Linked DNA regions of Oreochromis niloticus. The protein of the gene in region 1 interacts with the protein of each later gene in a biochemical or structural test. Links are inferred from orthologs where the notes say so. Each region holds a gene or a part of one and is shown in the gene's direction. Other genes may lie near its edges. The genes, in order: transducin-like enhancer protein 4 and pax5.

The links.
Region 2: the proteins of transducin-like enhancer protein 4 (region 1) and pax5 form a complex in vitro, tested with the Homo sapiens proteins (2 studies listed by BioGRID). The link is inferred for Oreochromis niloticus from reciprocal best matches to the Homo sapiens genes TLE4 and PAX5.

The regions. Positions count from the first base shown.
Region 1 is NC_031977.2:27,218,083-27,226,293, forward strand, and holds the start of transducin-like enhancer protein 4, read left to right. Parts: upstream 1-5,072; 5' UTR 5,073-5,477; exon of another isoform or gene 5,478-5,674; 5' UTR 5,675-5,823; coding exon 5,824-5,868; intron 5,869-6,198; coding exon 6,199-6,296; intron 6,297-8,211. UniProt on the Homo sapiens protein: Transcriptional corepressor that binds to a number of transcription factors. Inhibits the transcriptional activation mediated by PAX5, and by CTNNB1 and TCF family members in Wnt signaling.
Region 2 is NC_031971.2:22,416,733-22,425,210, forward strand, and holds the start of pax5 (paired box protein Pax-5), read left to right. Parts: upstream 1-5,271; 5' UTR 5,272-5,778; coding exon 5,779-5,824; intron 5,825-8,478. UniProt on the Homo sapiens protein: Transcription factor that plays an essential role in commitment of lymphoid progenitors to the B-lymphocyte lineage. Fulfills a dual role by repressing B-lineage inappropriate genes and simultaneously activating B-lineage-specific genes.

The DNA.
Region 1 (8,211 bases):
ATAGATGCAAGTAAAACACAGCAGAAAATAAATAAAATCAAAGACTAGCGGTCCTGTTGCTCTATTTTCACCTGTAAAGCAGGACTGGGGTAGGCGGAGGTTTACCCTGGTGCAGGTGTGCCGCAGCGGTCAGTGGAAGAATCCGCGAGTTTCTCTGTGAATTTCACATTACGTCGTAGCGCACTCGGTGCTTGCTTGGAAGTTTAGGGGTTTTTTGCTGTAAAAAGAAGTTTTCTTCCCACGCACAACGGACACTAATGTTTTTGTCACTTTTTATGGAATCAAACTCAAAGTAAGGTCAGTACTTCCACGCTTTAAACGCTGCACGCTCATACTCTCTCCGCACTCCATATATTATCCATTGTTGAACTGCACACAGCTGTTGTCACAAACGTCGCACTCGCTTACGTCACTGTCATGAGACATTCTTGCAAAAATTCACGGTTTTAGTAACGCAGTAACGCAGCGTTCCTACGTGAAAGTAACGGTAATCTAATTACCGTTTTTGCAATATAAATCCCTTACATTACTCGTTACTTGAAAAAGTAATCAGATTACCATCTCTGGTCAGTACTGCCTGCCTGGACTCACTTCTTCTCCTCTCTTGTGCCCTGTCTGTTGCTTTGGATGGTTATAATGTTGACCCCTGGTATTTATTTAAATTCATCCACCTTCACTATCTCTGCTCTTTGGATCTTCACGAGTAAACTTGCCTTCCTCTCACTCACATACATTCACACGCTGTCTTTCCTCTGCTGATTTTCATTCCTCTTCTCTCCAGCAGATTCCTCCACCTGCCATGGCTCCCATCTTCCACTTGCTCCCTACTCTCACTACAGATCACAATGTCACCTGCCAACATCATACTCCACAGACCCCTGCCTGACCTCATCAGCCAATTTGTCCATCATCACAGCCAACAAGAAGGGGCTCAGAGCAGATCCCTGATGTAATCCCACCCCCACCTTGAATACATCTGTCACTTCTATCACACACATCACCACTGTCTCGCTGTCCTCATACATCTACTGCACCAACCTCACATACTTTTCTGCCCTCTTGACATCCTCATGCAGTACCACAGTTCTTCTCTTGGCACTCTATCATGTGCGCTCTAGATCCACAGAGAGACAGAGTAACTCCTTCTGACCTTCTCTGTACTTCTCCATCTGTAGTTACTAACGAGGGATAAAGCTTGATTTTGAAAATTGGTACCAGTACTCTTCTTCCTCAGACATCCTCCCACTCTCCAAGACTGCACTAAACAATCTGGTCAAAAATTCCTCTCTCCTAGACATCTCCATATCTCCACAGGTATGTCATCCTAAACCAACTTCCTTTCAACTCTTTAGTCTCTTCATAACTGCCTTCACTTACTCCTTACAAATCTTCTGCTCTTCCTGATTCATTTTCTATTTTCATATCCATAATGTTAACCAAACAAGTTAGGAATAAAAGTACTAACTAAAAGTCAACAACTTCTTTAGTATATTGTGGGATGATACATCGCAGAGTGTGCAGGGATCTATTGTTGTTCTTGAGTTGTCACCGCCTAATAACACTGACTCTCAGTGCCACTCAGGTGACCACTGAACACAGCCAGAGGCTTTGTGTCAGCTTTTTCAGTTTGTAAAACAAATAAAATTGCAAAAAAAGTAACAAACAGGACATAAGAATAAAAAACGAAATACAAATATAATAGAAAAACATGAAGTTAAATCAAAACTTCTCAGGGGAACATTTAGAGACCAAAATGACAAGTTCTTGCAAATCTAAAAGGAGCATACTAATGAACAAACCAGATAAATAGTTAGGAGATAGTCTATTAAGCTTTTGTTTATGAGCACTAAAATAAGCCCCTATTTTCTTTTGTGTTTTAGCAGTTGCACAGAACTTTGGTGTCCAGTGAAACACACTGAAGCAGCTATCATAATGAGCCCATGCTGGTGCTGCCATGTTATGTGGAGTTTACAGCAATCGATGTAGCCTGACTGATAATTGGTTTTTAATGCGCTTGCTGAGGAGTCTCGCCTAAACGACACCTTCTGCACCATTTAAAGTTGATGTGGCACACATTATTAAACGTAAATAGCAGTAAAGTGAAAACCAATTTCTGTCCCTACAGGAAGATTTTCCTGTTTCTTTAAGTTAAATTAAAAGCATTCAATAAATTCTTACATTTGCCATTCTGTATCTTTCTTGTATCTTGTATTGAGTTTTGTTCTATTTGTGCCTGTTTAGTTTTCTCTGGCTTCCTCACACAGGCAACCACCTTAATTAGTTATTATTTGTCTACAATAATTTCATGGACAACCGTGTCAGGCTTATTGATGGATCACCCCGAGGAAGTATAAAATTAAAGATGCACCTTTTTTAAACGTTCTGTTTTTGTACCCTGACATAAAAGACTGGTCTCCTTAAGGCACAAACTACAAGCTTACAATGGTGGTACTTTAGAGGGTAAAGCTATGGTGATCAGCTGGTATATTCCCAAATGTAGTGGAAGATACTTTATTTTCTGAGTGTACACAAAGATCTCATCTAGTCTTTATATGCTGCATGGAAAGCTAAACAAGGGTATGCTATCCTCGACCAGTGGTCTGTATTTGTGAGAGCACGGTGTTGAAAAGTAATAGTGAGGGAGTATAATATTAAAGATAAGCAGAAGCAGTAGGCAGTGATGTGTGTGCATCTGCGTGTGTGTAACAGTGAGAAGGAGGGAGGGACATATGTACAGGTACTGATATCTAGTTGGGATCAGTGCACTGAGCAAGATGTTAAGCTCGGGTTTCCTTGCCACCCACTCCCCACCACAGACCATGTCAAGCCTCCCCCTTAATCCCCCCTCCCTGTATAAGCCACTCTCCATACACACACAGACATCCAGCATCCAGCTTGCTACCCATCTACGCTCAAAATCCGCTCCTGTGCAATCTCCTGTGCATCAGCTGCCAAATGAAGTTCCTCTTTAGAAAAAAAAAAAAGAGCCTTGGCTGTCGAATCGTCTGAGGCATCGTGCCTGGCGGCATAGGCAGCCCTTGTGTTGAAGCCAATAATCCGGCGTCAGAGCTTCAGGTGCGCAGAGGGTCGTGATTGACAGGACTCGATATGAGGCCCTCGCCTCACTTGACATTTGGGTTTCATAAGGTCTGGAACAAAAGGCAGGGGCAAAATAATCAGAGAGGGGCACAGGCAAATAAATCTGTTTATTCCTCCTCACCTGCCCCCCTCCCTCACCTCTGCACCTCCTCTGCTCGTCTACATCATGGCTCAACCCTTGGAGGAGAAAAGAGGGAGGGCATGATATTACCTTTTCACAGCCTTGGTGGATTCACGCACCGCGACAGCAGGTCACTTTAGGCTCTGTGCTTACCTGAGATATTAGTTTGTATGTGTGGTAGATAGAGATGTGTATTTGAATGGGTGAGGCAATGTGTGTGTGTGTGTGTGTGTGTGTGTGTGTGTGTGTGCGCACAATCCCATGTATGTTTGAGGGAGAGGCAGAGACAACAGACAAGACAGAAGCAGACTGACAAGGAAAGTGGATTGATGTGGTGTCACATTGTGGATTATAATTCATACACCTGTTAGTATGTTTGAACAAATATTATTATTAATCATAGAAGTAACATTACAACATTTACTACTGAAACACTGAAATGTATTTTATTGTGTCGTGTGAGGCAGACACACACATTATAACAAATGTGATCCTAAATAGCTTTAATGGGTTATGATAAATTCAGAGAAAGAGACATGAAATATAAAGTGTAATGCAGCACAAAATGATTAAGATTTCTGGACACAGTCAGTTAGTTCTGCTAAATGACCGAAGGCAGCAGTGAAGAGAGCTGCTGACCCAGCAACAGTGTGTTTCATCTACCCACACTGAACATCTTCTCACAGCCACAAATGCAGGCTGACAGACTATATGCACTTGTTCGCTCAAAATGAATGGTGTCAACTCTGCGTGTGTGTGTGTGTATGTATGTGTGTGAGAAACAGAGTCTTAGTCATAATATTTCAATTTACTTAGCAAGAGGTGTTCCATTTGGGTTGTACTACTTAAAGGGCAGACAAATTAGGCAAATGATTCAAGCTCTTTTAGGCGGCATTTATCTGAGCAGCGCACACGTATGGAATACATAAAATGCATTCAGTCTGCTTGTACATATAAGAAAAGGATAATGTCACATGTGTGCTGTATGTTAGAGTGTATGCTGAAATATGAACAGCAGGATTAGCATTTAGGATTAGGAATTTGTCTGAGACATGAGATCACATAAAAGAGACTGAGAAAACGAAAGAATGGTGGGAGCCTAAATGTGTATTAGCAGCATTTTCCAGCCATAATCAGAAGCCAAAGGCAACTCAAGTACATAAAGTGCTGACATCATAATTTCACTTCACCAGATTTCGTTTGCCTGCGGTATATTTTAACTGGCAGTCATAGATGCTACTCACTTTTCAAGTTGAGATCTGAGGGATTTCTAAAATTTGTTAAATGTTTAAATGCAGAAGAAGTTAAAAAAAACAGCACCACCATAACCAACCAGATTGTTATTATGTAGTTAAAACCTTAATTTAAAAGAAAAAATGTAAAATTAGAAATTCATGTAAATGTTTTTCCAACTAGACATGAATAAATAGAACGGGCTGAAGCGCTAATTGACATCCAGCCTGATATTGATGCCACCTTTGTGGCTCTAACATAATCAGTTTTTTATTTGTCCACCCTCTGTATGATTTACATAATGTGAAGTGAGAGATGAGGGGGCTGCATGAGAATTTAATTGCAGGGTTATAGGTGCAATCTGCGGACATGATAGCAGACTGTTTAATAGGTGATTCAATTAGGAAACGGGAAAAAAACATGAGACCAAGGGGCCATATGTTCGCTTCTGCCCCGAAGTCTGGAAAAAAAAAAGAAAAAAAAGAACATATAAGTCAACAGATAGTTTTCAGATTAATCCCTGTGACATCCTTTTGTACCAGAGCAGCCCCCACGTGGGGGTCTGCATAAATCGCGTCTTGCTGGATGTGATTGGATAGCTTATAGATGATTGGCAGGGGGGTGCAACGGAGCGTGTATAGTTTTCTTTCGCTATTGGCTGGCTTTAATGGCCGCTCCTCCCTCGGACCACACATCATTGGCTTTGGGGGTTTCGCGAAGGAGCTGGGAAGTTGTAGTTCTTTACAGCAGACGCGCATCTGTAGGGCTTATTATCGACTAATATGAATTAAACTACACGTCCCGACGTCGTGCTACGGGTCCTTGTAATTGTAGTGAATATGTAATTGAGCTCGTACGACTGGTTGCTTCTAAATTTGGCGTCGCAGAGGCAGGCTGCTGTAGTCGGAGAGGTGGTCGGTCGGCCGGTGCTGAATGAGGATGCAAACCTTTAACGGAGACTGTAGGAAATAAACCAATGAACGCGTGACAACGGGACGCTGTGGAGAAGCGTACTCGCAGACAAGTAGGGTCATGGTGTGCGAGATTTTAATGTTTTCTGTGAGAAATCTGAGAAAATAGAGGATTTGTTGTTAGTTCAGAAGGAGAACGTTAAGCGCTTAGAATAAGGTGCTGAAGATTTTGGAAAAGACTGGGACAATTTTTGCCTTTACTATTACGCTGAATGGACTTTTGAATTACTGTCTTGCTGTCTTTGGTCAGCCAAAGGTCCGAGGATGTCTCCACTCTTCGCGGAACCTGCATTTAGCCCGCAAACCAGCCACTGACTGACTTTTTACGCACGGAGAAAGCTCTGTTCTCACACACTTTGTTTTCGTGTTTTTCTGGATGAACACTGCAATACATTTTCAATGATTCGAGATCTGAGCAAGATGTACCCCCCGGCGCGGCATCCGGTAAGTACAGAACAGTAGCGGTAAGAGCAGTGTGTCAAAACAGCGCAGATTAACAGTCGCGCCTGATGCGTAATCAGTTTAGATCAAGTTTCCGTGCCACTGCGCGCTCTCACGGACAATTGCGCTCATTGTCAAACTGCCACAGCTGCATGTGTGTCTCTGAGTGTGCGTGAGTTAACGTGTAAGGAGACTGAGTGAAACCAAAAAGGCCATCCTTATCACAGAGGCCTATTGTCAGCTACAGTCCTGCCTGTGTGTGTGTCGTGACGCTGAACTTTGGTGGCTCAGTTCTTCCTTTCTTCCTTCGCACGCTGTTTGCTTTGGATTGAGGTCCCTCATCAGCCGGGACAGCCGTTCAAGTTCACTGTCACCGAGTCCTGCGACCGGATCAAGGAGGAGTTCCAGTTCCTGCAGGCGCAGTATCACAGGTAGGATTTCGGATACGAGCATGACATTTGGGCTGCATGGAAACATCAGCTCATCAGCCAGAACGGCAATAAACTTAGAAACCGTTCTGCATTCCCCACAATAGAAGCGATTGCGAATTTGATCCCTGTTGTTCTGGGTGCACATTAGAAGTAATTAGTGGGTTAATTAATCACTTTAATAGCAGGAATTAAAAAAAAATAAATGTTAAAAAATGTTTACATGTAAAATGCACAATTAATTAATTAATTAATACGTTTGGTTTTATATTATTAAATGTTACCTATAATATTTTTTTCTTCTTAATTACCTTTTGGTTCTTGCACTTTTGGTCAGTTGAAACCAGTTTTCCTAAGTCACCTTGGATATCTGGAGCTTATACTAGTGACCCCCCCACCCCCCATCCACACACAGAAAATGCTAACACTGTATTAGAGAAATAATAAATCAAAAAGAATTGATTGATTGACTGTGGATTGACTCACACTGTAAACCGAAAAACCCGAGATAATGTTAAAGAAATGGTCGAGTTCTGTGCTGCTGTGTACTAGTCATGTATGACTCATGAAGTATGACCAAATTATTAGGGAAATGTGTGATGCAATAACATGAAATACAAGACAGAATGTATTTTTTTATTTAAGTTTCGATTAAGAAATACAGTATGCTGAGTTTGACATCTATATTCAGGGATGTTATATTGCTATTCCTCTCAAATGCACAATATGCAGCTAAAACGGTGGTAGCCTGTATTTGTCTAAGGTCCATCTGTTACTAGTGACTAACCACAGGTAAACCCCCATCGACCTTTGCATGCACGTCTCTCACTCTCTCTCTCTCTGCAAGTGCAAGTGGTGTGAAATACTTTTTTACCTGACATGATGAAGTGTGAAATACATTGCTCAGGGCTGAACCACAGGCACAATACCAATGCATAATAATCACCCACTTCTGGCCACCTCATAATTATTACCAATCACCTGGTGAGATGAACCAGTGGTCCAGTTTGTTGGCCAGTCCTGAGGCTGAACAGGCTGAATGGTGCGCTGCATGCTTAATGCTACAGCCGCACAGATCAAACTCTTTCGTTCCAGTGAAATCCAAAACGAGGGTGGCGCTGATCAGATTTTATTTATTTATTTTTTTAAATAGCAGTGAGTCAGACACTCTGGGAATACGCTACAATAAGAATTACTGTGGTGCCACATGTTTCATTTCTTTTAAGGACGAATTTATTAGTATTTATTATTACAGTAGTTCTTATTTAGAAGAAAAGTAAACATGTTATAGACCTTACTAAAACCATGAATCTGTTTGAGAATATTCCCCAACCTTAGAGTACAAAAAAAGACGAGGGCACCGTCATCATCTAACTTAAATAAAGTTGAGGTATTAAACATTTAAAGCCCCAGATTTTCAGCTGATTTTAGCATTTATATTTAAGTAAATATTGAATTTTCTCAGTTTTTGTCATGTTTTACATCGCTGTATTTGAAGTGTACACGCAAAGGTTTTGATGATGATATAAACCTGATGAGTTCCTTCTTAAAAGATGCACAAAAACTTTATGAGGAGCGATACACTGGCAGACACAAAAGAGTTAAGCTTTTTCGCAAAATGGATCCTAATGTTATGGTTGCTTTTTTTGTTGATGTTGCAGTTTAGGCTTTTACTCGCACTATAAGAATATATGATGAGGTTTGTGTGGTTGTCCATTGATCCATTAATTACTGCACTACACCTGCTGAGTAAGTGCCTGTGTCTGCAGAGGAAATAGCTGCGATCCAAACAACTTATTTGTCTTTCTTTTGTAGCTCTCATATTTAGAAATGCAAATTTAAAGTGGCAGGATGCAGTGACTTGCAGGCTCAGTATAGTGCAAGTATCATCTCCGCTTTCAGTTGGCTAAAGTCTTGT
Region 2 (8,478 bases), on another chromosome or scaffold:
GTTGGCACATGCTTTCTTGTTACTGTATATATGTAAATTCAACCGTCCGGTCTGTATCGAAGCAGCCGGGCAGAAGGAATTCCCTTAAAAAAAAAAAGGCTCTCCCTGGATCAGCGCTTCTGAACAAAAATGGCTCCCGTGCATCACCCATATGGGGCCCTCAGTGCTGAAGTCATTCACATATTCTGGATATGCAGAATGTATAAGCCCCATCATCACTGGGTTTTTTTTCACTGCATCGCATGCAGTCTATCGTATCTGTCACCTCAGTCAAGGTTTGATCTTTTTGGTCACATTAACGCAGGTGTTACATTCTCATTAATTCTAAGAGACACTGCAGCATCAAATAGCTTTGCGGGATAAGAAACTGGTGGTGTATTAGAGAGATTCAGTAGATTCTGGAGTTAATATGCCAAGTAGAGCATGTACTAATCAGTGGCAAAGCTCACAGGCAGGAAGGAACAAATGATAAAGCACAACCAGAGGGGAATGATAACTCGTCACTGGGGTATTGCTTGTAATTTTGTACCATGTAAGAGAATATTTCTTTGTTTTCTCAGTTCTACTCAAAGTTTAGCAAGCTTGATCTCCAAACCTCTCTTCAGACATGGAATTTGTAACACAGATCAGCCACAAATGACCTCATATTATGCCTGGGCCATATGGATGAAATGACAAACCTGACACTTAAAGTACTTCATGATATGATGCTAAATTCATTTAAAATGAGTTGTTTTACAATACTGAACACAGTGACTGGACACTCTGTTGACACCAGAAAGTACAATGCATCTGATCAGGGCTCACAACTAAACTATCTCTTAATTTAAGAGACAACAAGCCATCAAGATCCAGAGCAATGCCACCGGGATGCTTTAGGGTTTATGTGTTTTAGGTTGCTGCTTAAAATCTAACCTGCATTATTACGATTCTCTGACGATGATCTTTTATCATATTGAATGCATGTCAAGTACAGGTGAAACACACACACGCTTGTGTGCACACCCAGAGGAAACTGTTTTTGTGAAGCTCTGTGATCAACAGTCTGTCCATGCTTTCAATAGGAAAAAAAAAACGAGAGAGCAAGCCTGACAACACCTTCTCAGGCCAGACCAAGTGACTTGTGTCTATGGGGATTAAATTTGTGAACACAAGCTCTACACACACACACAAAGTCCCACATACACACTTCATCACCACACGATGCCACAACACCTCTTTCTCAGCTGCAAGTATAAAACCACATTGACAGGAGCCTTGTCCGCTCTTGTCGAATTGTCACGCTGAAATGTTTACCTTTACATACAAATGGCCTGGTGTCATGTTGTGTCACATAATGTTTCATGGACAAATAATGTGTCCCATTTCTCAATCCGCCCTGCAGCCCTTAAGCCCCCTTTCTAGCCTCTATAGCCACAACAACACCCAGGCACCATGGCCGCAGAAAGGGAACCTTGTGTCGCCACAGTGAAGTGCCACTCTGAATTAAATCCCAGGGATACAGAGGTAAGCTCAATCAGCACTGTGGCTCTGAGTATTTCTAGGAAAACAATGAGCACCAGAGGTAAGTTGTTTTTTTTTTTCAAGACTGTCGGTATTAGGTTTCTCTGATTTACTGTAAAGAAATGTAACATATAAGTGGATCAGAGGGAGTATTTTTTTAAGCCATACCTGATACACTTTAAGTTAGAAACCCTGAGTGAGACTTATTCATATAACATTGCTGAAAAACAAAAGTTACTGAATACTCCAGAATTTAAGGAAGGATTAACAAATATAAAAAGCAGGAAAACCACAATTTTTAATTTTTTTCTTTTTTGTAAAATGAAGAAGTATATAAGATATAAGTAGGCTTTTAAATAGTTCTGTCCCTTTCATTTTTAAATATGAAAAAATACAGTGCTGATTTGAATGTGAGGCTTTGGACTGAAGAATAACATTTAGGTAGCAAACAAAACATCATTATCAGGTAAAGTTAGGTGTGTCTTGTTGAATTTTCTTTTGAAATGTAAATGTAGTTCACTCTAAAGTTAGACAAAATATTTTAATGAACACTTGAGTACATTTTAAGGTACTTCTACTTTCTATTTCTGATGCCTTCCTCTCTGCTACAGTTGATGGGAAATGCAGTAAAGTGTATTGCTTCACCTTTACCTGATATACAAGTTTATTATTATTAAATATAAATTAAACCCAGCATTACAGTGGTTCACATTCGCTCCAGGCATAGCATTAAAAGCTGTGTATAGTTGGATCTCCATTTAAATACAGCATAATCAAATTAAATTGTCATTGTCCAAATGTCCTGCCTTCACTTTTAATAGTTAAAAGTAAATCATGTCGATATCTAATTTGCATAGCCTGCATCTAAGTGAAATTTTGAAGGACCTTTAACACACAACTTGTGAACTTCCACAGATAACACAGATGCATGTGTAATTTTGCACAGACATAATGAAACCCCACAGAACTGCAGGCCTTTGTCTTTTCCGTGTAGTTTACACTAAATTTAACCGGTCTGGTGAAAGCCAAAAGTCCCACAGAGACGAGGAGCATTTCCTCCTGTGTTTACGTGTTTACTTATTGTTCTAATCGTCCCTTTAGTTCTTCTATCTCGCGCTTTAATGCGATTCTTTCCGGTTCCGCTCGGTCAGAGCTCGGGTCACCGATCCAGCTACTCCCCCCTCATATTAATTACATTAATTAGTACGGGGGTGAAAAACAAACAAGTGATGATTAATATCTAAACTGTGGAGAGTTCTTCGAAGACGTCCTGCAGGCCAAAAAACAACAACAACCAAAAAGCAAAGAACAAAAAAACAAATAAAAAAAGTGGAGAGAAACATGAAAGACTGCAAAAAAGAAATACATTCATTTATTAAAAAATGGGATTTTAGGGATTTTAGAAAAACTATTTCTGGTCTAAATGTTTGAAATACAAACAATAAAAAATAACAAAATAAATAAATAATGTAAAAAAAAACTGTTGCATGTAAAATATTTCATACAGGCAACATATAACTCAGCCCAAATAATTATGTGCACATTGTTACATAAATATATTTAAAATGCGTGATGTATATATGTATTTTACATATACACTATGTATACAGTAATTTTTTCTTTTATGTTTATAGCTCGTTATTAACATCATCATCATCAATAATAATATATTATTATTATTATTGTACTGCCTCGAGCGATTAATAAAAATCGTTACACGTTTCTGCATTTCACTGCACTACAGTGAAGATTAATTACCAGTCAAATCTGATTTAAAAATCAGATTCCCTCAAATTGTGTCCGCTTTATGTTTTGTAGTTTGAAATTATAATTGTGGCAAAATGTGCATTTTATCTTCATGTGCGTCTCTGGAAAAGACTAGGGAAAAAAACACACAAATTAAAACCAAGCAGAATGCAATAGTGTGGTTTCTTCAAAGAGCCCAATAGCAGATAATTGCACATTTTTCTCTCCACGAGCTCACACGTTTAGGAAATGTAGTGAATAATCCGCAGCCGTGGCCTTGCATACAGATTCAACTTTTGGGGGTCCATGAAGTGATAAGGATGAGACAGTTCTGCCGGGGATTCAAGAGCTTTCCCCTGCAGGCAAAACACAGAATCCACGTCAGTGTGTGCAGGCCTAATCATCATTAGCCTGGAAAGTGACAACACCAGGCTGCAGTACTAACCAAATCACTCTGTGTGATGTGCAAAGGGGGGGTTCAAAAGATCCCGTTGACCAACTTTTCCCCGCATAAGTGGCCTACAGTCCATTCCAACACGGCATAAATTCATATTTTCCTCATAAAAGTCTGTAATTGATTTATCTGCGGCTGCTTCCCCGCCTGAAGGTCAGAGTAGAGCCTCCTTCTTTGTTTTCTCGCCACCACACGGGAAACATTAATGTTGATGTTTTGATGTTGTGGGCGCGAGCCGAAGGTCAGGGTCGTAGTGTTGCAGCGCGAGGCGACAAGCAGAGCAAAATGGGTCGCTGTCTCGCGCTTTGTTCCTCACTCAATTGTCTCGGGGCTGCGCGTGAACCCTGAGACCCGCAGCTGTCTGGAGGAAAGCAAGAAGAAGTTAGACACCGAGTAAAGAGACACACCCACTGCTTCAATTTCGCTCTTAAATCTTAATTCCTGTTTATGGTCACGATCGGTAGGAACTGGCGGTGAAATCTTAAGTTACGACTGTTGTGTGTTTGTCCTTTACAGTAAATTCACTTTCGTTTGTACTACTGTTTTCACGTGTTTTCGCCTGGAATCAGTCCTCTTTTAAGCATAATTGAATTGCGTTTGTTTGCTGCATAAGACAGCCCCTCATTCCGGCTTTACCTCATGCCCTCATGGTGAAAATTTTACTGAACACGCTGCTGCCAAAGTCTTTTAAAATTGCTCCTTCAAAGTGATACTTTGGTCTTCAAGTGTGATAATTTACACAGCCTTATGATTAATATCAGTCTGATTTTAAAAGTTGCAAATGTATCAATAAATGTAATAAATGTATTTATAATAATTTATGGGGGAGCGGGGGGGGGAGTGCATTTGTTGGCGAAAAGCGACAGCAAAACCTGATCGTAATAACACGAAAAGCCTACAAAGGAACACTGAATCAGGAGATCTATATTGTCAGTGTTTTACTAGACACTCTAAGAAACCCAAAGAAAGCGGTGAGTATCAGTATGAGTGGAAATTTTCAGTTGGCAAATCAATTTTTAAATTAAATGTAACGCGCTTACAGGTGTGTGTCTGACAATCAAGACTAAGGACCAGAACTATCCGTTTTGTAACAAACTCTTTTCACGAGATGCACGCAGGGGAAGACTGCACTCTCCAACTGCAGAGCAGTGACGTTAGCTGAAGTTGTAGCTCGACGTATTGCACCTGCTCCAAAGTCTCTGAGTCCGTGCGTAACGAGCATCCTGCGTAACAGGTGTAGACCGGCAGAGGAGCACAGAAGTTGGAGAAACTTCTTTGAGCACTCTTTTGGGAGACACTGAAAGGACTCTAAACATAAATCCACCTGTGAACCAACGTTTTCTTATTTCTAAGTAAAACGAAAGAAAAAAAAAAGCGCACTAGTTTTACGCATGGCGCTGTAATGTTACCTATCAACCTGCATAGCAATCAACCGGGAATGAATCAGAGGTATCAGAGGAAATGAATCTAACATGAAAGGGAGAAAGAGAGAGAGGGAGAGTGGGGTGTGGGCGGGAAAGTTTAGTAAAGTGGAACTTGGTAACAGATGCGAGGGAGGGGGCGCGGCCCTGAAGGGAAGGGTGGCGGTTGTAAGTTGCGTGTTATGTATGCAGGGCCGCGCGCGTGCGTCGGAGCGCACGTTAATGTGTGCACGTGAGCGCGTACTCTCATTGAATTTGTGTGTGCAAGCTCGTGCAGGAAAAGGACAGGACATGAGCGCACATTGAGAAAGCGGCTCTTTTACTCGGCGTGATCATTTCACGCTTCCCCCCGAAGCCTTTTTTCCACCTAAAGCGTTTAGTTGCAGCTGACTGAGCACTTGCAGGGAGTGCAATAGGGAGCGGAAGGGTCGAATTATTTCAACCTACAAGTCGCCCCAAAAGTAGGGGACAAAAAAAGGGGGAGAGAGAGAAAGGGGGGAGAGAAGAAAACTGCCCCAGAAAGGGAGAGAGAGGGGGAGAGGGTGAGAGAGAGAGAGAGAGAAAGAGGAGGAGGAGAGGGAGACGCTGGAAAAAAGTTTTTGATCTTTTCCTTTTTTCTCCCTCCATCGCCTCCCCCTGTTCTAACCGAGTAACATGGACCAGGGGCCCAAGAGTCCTGCGCTGCGGCTGGGAAGAGCAGGTAGGGTCGCACCGGCTCACTCTGGCTATATTTTTGCTCTCATCAAGAGCTAGAACTCATCTACTTATCTAGTGAACCCGTGCTTTTCTTGCTTTTTAATTTTTATTTACGACAAAACTTTTAAATACAAGTTAAAGTTTAGCTTTTTACAAACGTTTCTTTGAAAAAAAAAATTGCTTTAAAGCCGTTCCAAGTTATTAAAACTATTACAAAAACTATAAAAAAGTTTTCTGGAGTTGATCTCTGCAACGAAACACTCCGTAATCTTTTGTGCTAACTTTGAAGTGTAAAATGTGCTTTAGTTGCAATGTTTTCTCTCAAGTTTGTGACTTTTTGGACAAGTGCAGAAACTTTTAGTCTTCGTGTATCTGTCTTTTAGAAATTCTTTAGGCTTCATTTAAAGAGATAAAAAAGATAGAAAATGTTCCTGAGTGCTGTCGGTTTATAATTTTGCTTCTTTAAAAGATATGTTTTGGTGTTTATTTGCTATTTTGTATTAATTATTATTATCGTCATTTGCTGGCAGAGAAGTAAAAGTGGCTGAGGTTGCTGGGTTTGGGTGGCATTGTGCTTCAGGTCATCTCCACGTGTTGGTCAGTCACCTGATGGGGTTAGCTTAGTACCGGGTGGGTGATTAGAACTGAAAGGCAACGTGGATTTGCGCAAGATCGTGGTCGCTGTGTATCTCCAAGTCTCACAAATGTATGTGTAAAATGCGTCTTGTGAGGGTGGCCATGTGAGATGTTATTTGTTTTTCTAGTGTGTTAAACAGAAGTTGGCGTCTCTGGTCGTTTCAGTCAAATGCAACTCTCTAAAAGATGCGAGCTCGACTCTTTCCTTCGTGTCTCCATTATTTTATTCAACAGGTTAATCTCCTATAGGCCTATTCATAAAACAGCGGGGTCTGGTACAGCAATGGATCAGGCCATCGACCTTGTTATGGCACCCAATGGATATCACATCATTTCATATTGCTGCCCGCTGTGTCTGCATTGAAAAAACGTCGTTTGTCATTAAGAAACTGTGGGTAGGTGATCAGCCTCTTTGAACGGGCTCCACGCAGCTTTTTTTTCCTCCAGAAAAGCAACATCTGCTTTCGTGACCCCTCCTTTTGCCTGTTAGTAAGAATATTGAAATGTACGCTCACAGATTTAAGACAGCTGTTGAATAACATTTTTATAGAGATTCAGACTGCAGTTAATGCTGTTTTACGCATTCATTTTCACAATATTGCGTCAAGGAGGACTTTTGAGAGCATGGCACTTTGTCTTGTAATAGAATTTTTTTTTTATCTTGGGGTCACCCTTCTTTGAAAATTTCTCTACAGATGATGCCACTGCTCTGTAAGACAAGCCAGGGCTCCTCTGCAGTCTTTTGTGGAGTGGGCCTAGCCCCTGATAAACGGTGAAAACGATGGGATTTGTAGCAATTGGATGATAGCCTTTTAGCCACTGAGGAAATCAGAGTTTAAAGGAGGGCCCCTCCCATGCTGATGTGTAAAGTCTTCTGGGCCCGGGGCCTGTACCTACGGCCTCTCCATGTTTCCTCTCACTTTAAGATACGTGCTTGGAGTGCAAAGGAGAATCAATGGGGAAGAACGTGAATCTAGTAAAAGCTTCTGGTAGTGCGTGAAAGTGCAAGGCTCGATTCTTTCCATTTAGCGTGGCTGTTATTTCTGTGAATTATTTATAAAACATTTTAAAAGTGGCATTTATCTGTGTTATAAGACATTTTCAACAATCGTATATGATGTTAGCTGCCCTTGGCCTGTCTTCTGTCCACAGTAAAATACAGGTGTATTGAGAGTAATATGACCCACTCAGTGGTATCGTTTCTCTGCGTGTATTCTTCTGCGTCATTCTCTACCAGCCTGTTTTTATGCAGGCGTCCCGGAAACCCCGTGAACTGCTCTGCACTACTCTGACCATTCAAGCTTCATTTGCAGCATTTGTGTTTTCTAAAAGTCAAAGCTGACACGCCACCGTACAAAAGTTGTTACCAAAACGCTCACTAAACTGTGCAGAGTACAGGATCTGATCATGAAAATGTAAGAGAGAGAAGGGAGTGAGGGAGGGGAGGGGAGGGAGACAACCATGACCTCACATGGCGTAGCCTGCTTTTGCTTTGACCTCAAGTGCCCCATCATAGTAGAGAAACTAGGCTGATATACGGCCATGAGGGCTTTCTATTCCACCTGACAGATGACAGACTGGTCTTTACTTGCATTATGAAAGAGCCAAATGATCACAAATAGGACCATCTGATCGGGCCTGTGGGTGGGACAAGCGGTCTCAGTGATTTACCTGCTCGGCACACGGTCGAGTTCCACCCCGGGAAGTCCAAGACGGTTCACTCTTCAGTCCATATATTTTATTTATTAGTTATGACTTTTATATTTTATAAGCAAATGAAAACTTAAGAAGAGATACGGGAGCTTTCTCATTATGTTTACAGTCAGCGGGCGTGTAATAAACGAGCTGGTGGAGTTAACATGCGCTATTAATTTTTCATTGCTTTTTCGTTTTGAGGCTCGGGCGTAAAAAAGCAAAACAGCCGAAGCCTTCTTGGCGGATAGAGGGAAAAGGGAGAGCAGGAGTGAAAGGGGGGAACTCCTAAACAACAACAGTGGGTTCAATTTGCCTCCAAATGATTAT